3 linked regions of the Macaca fascicularis genome follow. The protein of the gene in region 3 interacts with the protein of the main gene of each other region in a biochemical or structural test. Links are inferred from orthologs where the notes say so. Each region holds a gene or a part of one and is shown on either strand. Other genes may lie near its edges.

Region 1 (3,656 bases), on a different chromosome or scaffold from region 3:
AAGGTGAAAACGCGGCAAGGCACAGGAACTCTTGATAAATACTGCAGTTTTTAAGAAACATGGGCTGGTCTTGACGAGACCTATAGGCAGACAGGGCTCAAACATTCAAAAGAGCTAGAGTAAACTCAACTCCCCGAAAGCGCTGCACTGACTGGCAGATTCCACACGAGACACTGGCCTCCCACGTGTCTTTCAGAAAACACACAAAATTCAAGGGATAAAGAAAGCCAAGAAGGGGATGAGAAAAAGGAAAAAAAAAAAAAAAAGCGAACAGAGCTTCTCTGGGAAGTTGAGGGTGCGCGGAGAGTGCGCGAAGGCTGGGGCGGGCGGAGGGAACTCGCACAGCATCTGGCGGGCACCGAGGTCTGGGAACAGGCCTGGAGGCAGCTCTGTTCGTGGAGAAAGTGGGCTGCCCGTGGGCCCCACCCTGTGGAGCCCCCCCAGTAGATCTGTCCCTTGGTTCGGGTGGGCAGGGGAGGGCAGAGCGCAGAAGAGAAAAACAGGGAACGAGACGCTAGAAGAGCCACAGGTGGGCGCCGGTCAGAGTCCGAGGTTGCAGGTCTCTGGGCCAACCGCACCTGCGGGCCCTCCGAGACGCCGTAGCCCCGCCCCTCCGGCGCGTGGCGCCCATGACGCTAGGCGCGCGGGCCGCTCTCCTTACAGAGGTCGCTCTTGTCCGAACGGTCGGCCTCTGCTGCGCCTGCGTGGTTGGGAGGGGAAGTGAGGCGGTTTCCTCGGCGCCTTTTCCGGCAGCGGCGGCGGCAGAACTGGGAGGAGGAGTTGGAGGCCGGAGGGAGCCCGCGCTCGGGGCGGCGGCTGGAGGTAACCCCCTGCACCGAGCTGGAAAGGCGGGCCACCTCTGTCTTCACTCCTCTCTGGATCTCTGGCGGTAACTCCCCTCTCCCTCTCTGTTTCTCTGCAGGCAGCGTACCGAGTTCCCGCGAGGATCCATGACCTGACGGGGCCCCGGAGTCGTGCTGCCTCTCGGGTGTCCTGGGTCGGTGGTGAGCCCAGTGTTTGCAGGCCGGCTGGCGGGCCGGAGGGCCGCATTCTCCCTCGGGGTGAGAGGAAGGCGGAGGAGCGGGAACCGCGGCGGCGCTCGCGCGGCGCCTGCGGGGGGAAGGGCAGTTCCGGGCCGGGCCGCGCCTCAGCAGGGCGGCGGCTCCCGGCGCAGACTCAGGGCCCGGGTGGCAGCGGCGAGTGGAGGAATCAAGTTGTGCGGTCGGTGATGCCCGAGTGAGCGGCAGTCCTGGGCCTCTGCCCTTAGGAGGCACCTCCCACGCAGGCCGCAAAGGCGCCTTCGCGGCCGGGAGGCTTCGTTTCGGTTTCGCGGCGGCGGCGGCGTTGTTGGCTGACGGGACCCGGGACACCTGAATGCCCCCGGCCCCGGCTCCTCCGACGCGATGGGGAAGGTGCTATCCAAAATCTTCGGGAACAAGGAAATGCGGATCCTCATGTTGGGCCTGGACGCGGCCGGCAAGACAACAATCCTGTACAAGTTGAAGCTGGGCCAGTCGGTGACCACCATTCCCACTGTGGGTTTCAACGTGGAGACGGTGACTTACAAAAATGTCAAGTTCAACGTATGGGATGTGGGCGGCCAGGACAAGATCCGGCCGCTCTGGCGGCATTACTACACTGGGACCCAAGGTCTGATCTTCGTAGTGGACTGCGCCGACCGCGACCGCATCGATGAGGCTCGCCAGGAGCTGCACCGCATTATCAATGACCGGGAGATGAGGGACGCCATAATCCTCATCTTCGCCAACAAGCAGGACCTGCCTGATGCCATGAAACCCCACGAGATCCAGGAGAAACTGGGCCTGACCCGGATTCGGGACAGGAACTGGTATGTGCAGCCCTCCTGTGCCACCTCAGGGGACGGACTCTATGAGGGGCTCACATGGTTAACCTCTAACTACAAATCTTAATGAGCATTCTCCACCCATCCCCTGGAAGGAGAGAAATCAAAAACCCATTCATAGGATTATCGCCACCATCACCTCTTTCAATTGCCACTTTCTCTTCTTTTGAATTTGAACTCTGGAGTTACTGTTCTACAGTTTGGGGGGAGGGGGCTTGGGGGTTTTCTCTTTTGTTTGTTTCTCTTCTTCCCTTTTTTTTTTTTTTTTTGGCTTTGCATTAGGATGCTCTGATCTGACATTTGACATGAACACAAAGTTGCTAGATGCTCTTATTGACTTCCAGCAGATGGGATGGGGGAAATACAGCAGTTCCTGGTAAAGTCCTTTGTAATAATAGTTTGATTTTTTTATTTCGAGAGAATCTTTCATTTTCCTATGTATGCTTTTTTCCTTTTTTGCCCAGTTTCCTTATCACTTGCTGTAGATGGCTTATTTTGCATTCATGCAGACTATGTTGCAAGTCTGTTTCATCTAGTAAACTGAAAATTATTGCTTAATCAAACTGCCGTTTGTCTTTTATACTTAAGGCCTTTCCCCCCTTCCTTATGAGTTCTAACTTAGTAATTTCAAATGTGACCTTTTATATCTAAGACCAGTATAGTAAACTTAGCCCACAGTGGCGAGTAATGAGTAATATCATTGTAATATGTTCCAGTTGCACCTCAGTATGTTAAACAGGTAATGTAAGAGGTTCTCTGAAATGTCAGCAAATAAGTTCTGAAACATACATCATGCATGAGTAGGAATAAAACCCAAGTTCCCCACAAGGTAGCTAACTTAACGCTGCATAAAAATATGAAAGTGTAACCCATGAAGGACACTTTTTTTTTCCACTGCAAAGTTAGTCACTTTGCTGTTTTCCCTCTTTTTTAAACTTTAAAAATAGACTCCAGGAATTGGAGCAATAATGGTGTATACCACACACAGATTAAACATTTGTAGATATTTTAAGTGACTTTTGGGCAAAACTGGAATGTATACTTTGACCTTGTTTCAAACGCCTGAGACCAGTAACTTAAAAATTACTAAAAGGTTTACTTTGTTCATTAATAAAGCATTTAGCAATTCAAATTATATGCACCTTTTACCTAGTTGAAAAAAATACACATTCCTGTTTTCACATTATAGCAACTGATAAAGCTGAAGCTATAAGTCATTTTTATAGATGAGTGATCCACATCTCCATCAATTAGAACACTGGAAAAGATGTTTTATAAAAAAGGTATTTAATTTTGTTTGTAGGATTAACTCATGCAAATAATGAAGATATCCTGTTGGTTCAATAGTACACTGTCTCCTTTAAGGAAGGAAGCGTGATGAATGAATGATGTGTAGACTTGAGGGATGACTATTAAAGGGGACGTAGGATGAAGAGAAAGAACCTACAGATGACAATGAATGTAAACTTATTTTTCTTCATATGTAAGCAGTGTGCTCGCTGGTGATATCCAGATCCTAACAAGATTACTTGGTTAGCTGGTTAGGACCTGTAACTGGATTGCGACCACTATGATAATATTTTGAACCAAATGTTAATGCTTGATGCAGAATTGTAAAGCAGCATCTGGTTCCTATATAACCTTAAGGATTAATTTTAGTGATCCTCAAGGAATTAAATAGGGAATTTCAGAAATGTAGACTGCAAATGCAGTATACAGGAAAAGGTGGAGTGGGTTTTGTTTATGAGGGTGTCTGAAAACTAAAATTGAGCGGGATATCATGGTATAGTTG
Region 2 (3,746 bases), on a different chromosome or scaffold from region 3:
ATAACCCCTTAAGTTAGAACAAGTCTCCTTTTATAGATGACGAAATAACAGAAGAGTTATGAGGAGTGTTGAAGCCAAATCCTCAAGAAATGGCAGAATTAAGATTTGAACTAAAGCCTGAAACCACGTGCTGGCATGTGGTGGGTGCACAGTAAATATCTGCTGAAAAAGCAAATGAATGAATGAAGGGTTTTTTATTCCCAGCTCAGTTTACCTCGAGTCCATAAACAATTGATCCTAGAAGCCCACTGGGAACCCAGAGTAGGCATAACACCTGCCCTTGCTCCATTGGGAATCTATCAGTCCAGTTCAACTGAACAAGCATTTGTTAGGCCTATATTAAATGCATGGCATTGAGCCAGTCTCCACCGCAGAAGAATTTCATTCCTATTTTGCTATTCTCCTCTCAGATGCTAAAATGAGGCAGGGAAATGACATGTGAAGCTCTTTGGGTCTAGGGAGTCAAGATCCTCACAAAATCCTGAATGGGTGTGCAAGAATAAGCCAGGTCCACCAGTCTGTGGCAAAATGAGGCCCTTCAGCAAAGCGGCCAGCGCCTGGACTGAGAGGCGGGGCCCGCAGGGCGATCTAAGCGAAGGTGGACTTCAACAGCCCAGGAGTGGGTCTGCGACCACGCCGCCCAAGGCCGGGAATCTTACACTGGTTCCGCTGATTGGGAATTACGAAGTAGGCGTTTTGAGGAACCATGGAAGCTAGCTAGCACTTGGGCACCTACCCCTACCTCCGGCGCACTCTTCAAACGACCACCTCCTACGCGCAAGATCCTCAGTGGAAGATGAGGCGGTAAAGGGAGGACCAAGACCCCTAAGCGCATCTTCCGCTCCCCAAAGGAGAGTGGTGCGCACGTTCAGTGCTACTGGTTCCCAAGAGCTAAAACCGGAGCCCTAGCGGCCTGGACGCCACAAACCAAAGCCCAGCGGCCGGCCACTGAAAATGGGGGCAGAGGCCGATGCGGAGCGATGAAGCCTTTCCTCAGCCGCGCTCGGGCTGCCGGTTTGGCGGCCATAGGCCTGACAGGCACATTGGAGACCCAGACCCGTTCCCAAATAAGGGCAGCGCGGGACCCAGGCCAGAGGCGGCTACTCGCGGAGCTTCGGCTTCCCCAGCAGCCAGGCCCGGGGTGGGGCGGGGCCCAGAGCCGGGGGCGGGGCCCGGGTGGGGGCGGGCCCGCGGTGACGTCGGGAGGGCAGCGACGCGCGGAGGCGGTGGCGGAGCCTCCTCCTGCTGCTGCTGCGCCCCATCCCCCCGCGGCCGGCCAGTTCCAGCCCGCACCCCGCGTCGGTGCCCGCGCCCCCTCCCCGGGCCCCGCCATGGGCCTCACCGTGTCCGCGCTCTTTTCGCGGATCTTCGGGAAGAAGCAGATGCGGATTCTCATGGGTGAGGCAGATCGAGCGCGCGGCCCGGACCGGGGCGCCGGCCCCGGCGCAGCCCTTCCGCCCCCGCGTCCCTCCAGCCCCGCTCACCTGGGGCTCTGGCCCCGAGTCACCCACCTCCTAACGCCCCGGGGCCTCAGCTCTCGGGCGGGTCCCGGTCTGCAGCGCCGACCCCGGGGCCTGACACCCGGAGCTGCGGGCCTGGGTGGGGTGAAGCTCCCTCCGCCCCTGCCCGGCTGATAAGAAGGGAGGATTCCGCCCTTGGAGACGACTTTTAAAAGGAGCGCGGCCTACCCCCCGTGCCCCTTGCATCCCAGCCCTTTCCCGCGCCGCGCCCTCTTTGGAGTTGGCTCACGCCACCCAACTGCCCTCCAGGCCCCGAAGGTAGATAACGACGCGCACCTGGAGGCGCTCCCGCTCTCCGCCCCCGTCACCATCAGCTGTTGTGGCCTCTTCATTTTCCCTGGTCTCTAGGGGGCTCCCTCGCTCCCATCTCCATCCCTGTGCCCCTCTCCGTTGCAGTTGGCTTGGATGCGGCTGGCAAGACCACAATCCTGTACAAACTGAAGTTGGGGGAGATTGTCACCACCATCCCAACCATAGGTGAGCCCGGGGACGAAGCAGGGAGCGGGAGCGCCGCGGCGGGCCCTCTCGGGGTCTGCTCCCAGTTCTGCCACTTTTCTGGAGCTGACCCTGACACCAGATACAGCTATTTGAGAAGTGGGTCAGGGTATCTCTACGTGGATACCGGAGGCGGGGTGGATGTGACCTAGCCCCGCCCTGTTGACCGGCAGTTCTGGGGTTCTGTTCCCCTGGGCCTTGATCATTGCCTTCTGGTTTTGTGTCCCTGCTGAGATCTAAGTAGTTTCAGTGAGTTCCCTCCTTTCAGGAGTTTTTCTCATATTTTTTTTTCCCAATTATCTGCAGGCTTCAATGTAGAAACAGTGGAATATAAGAACATCTGTTTCACAGTCTGGGACGTGGGAGGCCAGGACAAGATTCGGCCTCTGTGGCGGCACTACTTCCAGAACACTCAGGTGGAGTGTTGGGAGGGGACTCTAACCCCACGGGAAAAGGTGTTAGGGCTGGGAGAACAGAATTGTTGGCCTGGGCTGGGCCCCCAGGCCAAGGAGAAAACCCTTCCCCGCTTCTCCCCCCTCTGTTTGGCTACCCTCTACTCACTCTTCAGAGCTCACCTTAGTCTTCACCAGCTTGAACTTCTCTTTAGAAGCAGGATTCTGGGGCCAGGCTGCCTGATTTAGCCCTCATCACATGTCTTTATTTCCTTGCACTTCTTTAGATAAACTACTACTTCTTTGCGGTGGGGTCTCTAGTTTGTGCTGGGACTTCTGTAGAGCTTCTATGGAGTTCTGTAAACTTCTGTAGCGTTTACTAGATGAGAAGGATTGACACAATTACAGACGGCAAGAGAAGAGAAAGGGCCACACTACAGTATGTCCCAGGCAGGAGTGATTGCTTCTCCTTTCTTCCTTCTTGCCCAGGGCCTCATCTTTGTGGTGGACAGTAATGACCGGGAGCGGGTCCAAGAATCTGCTGATGAACTCCAGAAGATGGTAAGTACCCAGAGCCCTGGGAACTGAACCCTCAGGTTGGGGACAGAGTGATCTCTCTAGTGCTATAGAAGTCAGGGAGCCCCCAACAAGCATTGAAGACCAGAAATACAAGTTTTTCTTTATGGACAGATACATTGTGTATCTCACCGTTTTGGATGGGACTGACTTTCTGTGCATTCTCGTGTCTTTTTTTTTTTTTTTTTTTGAGATGGTGTTTTGCTCTTGTTGCCCAGGCTGGAGTGCAAAGGCACAATCTCGGCTCAACCTCTGCCTCCCGGGTTCAAGCAATTCTCCTGCCTCAGCCTCCCGAGTAGCTGGGATTATGGGCGCCTTCTGCCATGCCCAGCTAATTTTTGTATTTTTAGCTGAGATAGGGTTTCACCATGTTGGCCGGGCTGGTCTCGAACTCCCGACCTCAGGTGATCCACCTGCCCCAGCCTCCCAAAGTGCTGGGATTACAGGCATGAGCCACCGCGCCCAGCTGCATTCTCATGTCTTTACATCTGAGTCTGAGAAGTTGCAGGGGAAATGGGACTTATATGTGGTAAAGAGAAACATTTTACATTCTTGCCTTTTCCATTTGGAAATGTTGTCATTTTGCCTAGGCAAGTACTCAAATTAGGAAAAGGTCTTTCATTTCTGGACTTATGGCTCAGGTCACCTCAAGCGCATTTATAACTATGTCTTGTCTTCAGTGGCAGACTACACAATATTTTTTTTTCCAATCAAGATCCTAGGAGGTAGAAAGGGAATTCCCCATACAGTAAAGAAGACGCAG
Region 3 (3,646 bases):
CTACACCGGGGTTTGCATCTCGGGGCAGCCACGCAGGCGACACGTACCGGGGTTTGCATCTCGGGGCAGCCACGCAGGCGACACGTACCGGGGTTTGCATCTCGGGGCAGCCACGCAGGCGACACGTACCGGGGTTTGCATCTCGGGGCAGCCACGCAGGCGACACGTACCGGGGTTTGCATCTCGGGGCAGCCACGCAGGCGACACGTACCGGGGTTTGCATCTCGGGGCAGCCACGCAGGCGACACGTACCGGGGTTTGCATCTTGGTACATGAAGGCTCAGAAGTGGGTAGCACCAGGAACTGTGGAAGTTGGGTGAAGGCAAGGCTCACACAGGAGGGTCCCCCCCCACATACAGCTGGGTCACACCCATCCCCACCCTAGAGGAGGAGTCTGGACTGCAGAGCACCAACACACACCGGAGTGACACCAGTGAGTGCCCTTGTCCTCCTGACGAACGCCTGTGGCCAAGGGTCTGACCAGCCCCAGACAAGTCCCTGGGAGCGCGCCTGTCCTGGGCACCCCGTGGCCTCCCTGGTGGTGCAGAGGCCAGCAGGTGCTCTTGGGAAGGGGTTGCATCTGCTTTGCCCCTGGTCTCAATCATCAGTTCTGCAAAGCAAGAGCAAGTCCCCTCCTGGGTAGAGGACACCTGAAGCCCTTCCCGCCCAGCCCTGTGCTTTTCCATCTTATACCCTCCTGGGTAGAGGACACTTGAAGCCCTTCCCGCCCAGCCCTGTGCTTTTCCATCTTATACCCTCCTGGGTAGAGGACACCTGAAGCCCTTCCCGCCCAGCCCTGTGCTTTTCCATCTTATACCCTCCTGGGTAGAGGACACTTGAAGCCCTTCCCGCCCAGCCCTGTGCTGCCCCTGGGTTTCCATCTTACACCAAATTCTGGGTGTGGGTGCAGGTTAGGTTGAATTAGAAGGGATGGCAGGGTAACAGGATAGTGAGGACAACTGGATTATGGAGAAGATCCAGGGTTCCTTGGAGAAATGGCCAGTTCTGAGGCTGCGACGGGAAAAGGCAGGCTGAGCCTGCAGCAGTGTGTAGTATCTGAAAATGAGGAAGTGCTTACACTAAACCCCCCCCTGCCATGAGCACAGACACAGGGTATGTCAGAGGGACACGGGCCAGCTGAAGGAGTTGCCAGACGCCAAAGCTGGAACAGTTCAAGTAACAAACTCATAGTGATAGCATTGGATTACAATCCAAAACATAAAGTTCATGAGTCCATCGTGACACAAATAAATGACTATTAATAAACAGAGAAGAGGGCCGGGTGCGGTGGCTCACACCTGTAACCGCAGCACTTTGGGAGGCTGAGGTGGGTGGATCACCTGAAGTCAGGAGTTCAAGACCAGCCTGGCCAACATGGCAAAATCCCGTCTCTACTGAAAATACAAAAATTAGTCAGGCGTGATGGTGGGCGCCTGTAATCCCAGCTACTCAGGAGGCTGAGGCAGGAGAATTGCTTGAACCCCAGGAGGTGGAGGTTGCAGTGAGCCAAGATTGCGCCACTGCACTCCAGCCTGGTGACAGAGTGAGACTCCTCCTCAAAAAAAATAAAATAAATAAAATAAAAAATAAGGCCGGGCACGGTGGCTCACGCCTGTAATCCCAGCACTTTGGGAGGCCGAGACGGGCGGATCATGAGGTCAGGAGATCAAGACCATCCTGGCTAACACGGTGAAACCCCATCTCTAATAAAAATACAAAAAAAAAAATAGCCGGGTGTGGTGGCGGGCGCCTGTAGTCCCAGCTACATGGGAGGCTGAGGCAGGAGAATGGCGTGAACCCGGGAGGCGGAGCTTGCAGTGAGCCGAGATTGCGCCACTGAACTCCAGCCTGGGCGACAGAGCGAGACTCCGTCTCAAAATAAATAAATAAATACAATAAAATAATAAAAAATAAAATCCTTCAAAGATTACAGAAAAGCTCTGCCCGGAGCACTTGGGTGGGCACCTAAGGACTGGCCCTGGTCATTTGGGGGCGTCTGTGTGTCACAGGGCAGCCCCAGCAGGGTTTCCCTGAGACACGGGGCGCCCTGGTCCTGCAGAGGCACATGCTTCCCAGAGTGAGTTTCATATTTGCTCTCGTGTCCCAGGCTACAGCAACTGGACGAGGAGAACAGTGAGCTCCGGTCCTGCACGCCCTGTCTGAAGGCCAACATTGAGCGCCTGGAGGAGGTGAGCTGCCTACATCCTGGAGCTGTGGCTAGTGGGCCCAGCCCGTGCCCTGCCTGTGGGGCAGCCGAGGTAGCCCTGAGCTCTGTGCTGAGCAGGATGCTGTGCTGTGTGTGAGGGAACAGGGCCAGCTCAGGGCCCAGGCCACTGGAAGGCACCGGACCTGAAGGCACTGTTCCACCCACAGGAGCAGGGCCCAGAGGCTCACTCCTAGATGGACCCAGGGCTCTGAATCTGGGAAGTGTCCTCCAAGGGGAAGGCATCAGCCAGCCACTCACGCCCCGACCCCTGCAGACGTGGAGGCAGAGGCTGCATGTGGGGTTCCCACACCCCAGCTCATCACTGTGAGACCTCCCTCCCCCCACCTCACCAGCTGTGCTCTGGGAAGCTCCCAGGAAGGATATTCTCAGAGCACTTGGGCCCTGGCTCCCGTGAACCAGAGGAGCCCGGCTGGAGCTGCCCACAGCCACTGAGTCAGGTCCTGTCCACACAAAGGTCCTTCCTGCCCCTCATGAGAAATGGCCCTCGTGGCCTGTGTGTGTGAGGCGCCCAGAGGCAGGTGGCCTTGACCTCCACTGAGAGGCAAGAAGGCTCAGACCCAGCCCTGTCGCGCTCCAACACGGGGGCTACCATGCTGCTGTTTGGGAGACTCAGAGACTGGAGGGACAGACGACCGGGGCAAGCTGCATGCACAGGTGGGAGGGCAACGCACATCCAGGGCAGGTGTCCACCCCTGCAGGAGAAGCAGAAGCTGTTGGATGAGATAGAGTCGCTGACGTTGCGGCTCAGCGAAGAGCAGGAGAACAAGAGGAGGATGGGGGACAGGCTGAGTCACGAGAGGCACCAGTTCCAGAGGGACAAGGAGGCCACACAGGAGGTGAGCTGGCACCCACCCTGCCCCATGCCAGTCCTGCCCCCAGCCTGCCCCAGGGGAAGCCTTTGTTTCCTAAGATGCTAGCTTTTGGCTGTGAGTTTTGGACATAGCTGCTGGTGTGTGTCGTCTTCCCGAGAGACGGCCAGATCAACCCTGAGGTTCTACAGCCAAGTGATGGCTGATGGTGTCCCCTGGGAGCCCAGGCCCCCCGGCTCACCCAGCGGTTGCCCTGCAGCTGATCGAGGACCTCCGAAAGCAGCTGGAGCACCTGCAGCTCCTGAAGCTGGAAGCTGAGCAGCGGCGGGGCCGCAGCAGCAGCATGGGCCTGCAGGAGTACCACAGCCGCGCCCGGGAGAGCGAGCTGGAGCAGGAGGTCCGCAGGCTGAAGCAGGTGGGCAGGCCTGGGCCTCCCTCCCTCACATTCCTGCAGAATGTTCCACAAGGCTGGTTGGGAAGGTGGGGACATGGAGGGTCAGCATCTGAGCTGGAGGCCTTTTTCCCTGGGCAGTCCTTGTCCCTGCTCAGCCATCTGCAGGGGCCACAGCCCAGTAGTGATGTTGCTGTGCCCTCCCAGGACAACCGCAAC

Evidence for each region.
Region 1: the proteins of RAB11FIP3 (region 3) and ARF6 form a complex in vitro, tested with the Homo sapiens proteins (2 studies listed by BioGRID). The link is inferred for Macaca fascicularis from reciprocal best matches to the Homo sapiens genes RAB11FIP3 and ARF6.
Region 2: the proteins of RAB11FIP3 (region 3) and ARF5 form a complex in vitro, tested with the Homo sapiens proteins (2 studies listed by BioGRID). The link is inferred for Macaca fascicularis from reciprocal best matches to the Homo sapiens genes RAB11FIP3 and ARF5.

Annotation. Positions count from the first base shown.
Region 1 is NC_088381.1:117,824,575-117,828,230, forward strand, and holds the start of ARF6 (ADP-ribosylation factor 6), read left to right. Parts: upstream 1-760; 5' UTR 761-822; intron 823-922; 5' UTR 923-1,403; coding exon 1,404-1,931; 3' UTR 1,932-3,656. UniProt on the Homo sapiens protein: GTP-binding protein involved in protein trafficking that regulates endocytic recycling and cytoskeleton remodeling. GTP-bound form plays an important role in the transport of multiple palmitoylated proteins form the Golgi to the plasma membrane.
Region 2 is NC_088377.1:169,261,871-169,265,616, forward strand, and holds the start of ARF5 (ADP-ribosylation factor 5), read left to right. Parts: upstream 1-1,242; 5' UTR 1,243-1,331; coding exon 1,332-1,398; intron 1,399-1,916; coding exon 1,917-1,997; intron 1,998-2,321; coding exon 2,322-2,431; intron 2,432-2,896; coding exon 2,897-2,968; intron 2,969-3,746.
Region 3 is NC_088394.1:1,268,087-1,271,732, forward strand, and holds part of RAB11FIP3 (rab11 family-interacting protein 3), read left to right. Parts: intron 1-2,107; coding exon 2,108-2,189; intron 2,190-2,925; coding exon 2,926-3,063; intron 3,064-3,295; coding exon 3,296-3,451; intron 3,452-3,568; coding exon of another isoform or gene 3,569-3,634; coding exon 3,635-3,646. UniProt on the Homo sapiens protein: Downstream effector molecule for Rab11 GTPase which is involved in endocytic trafficking, cytokinesis and intracellular ciliogenesis by participating in membrane delivery. Recruited by Rab11 to endosomes where it links Rab11 to dynein motor complex.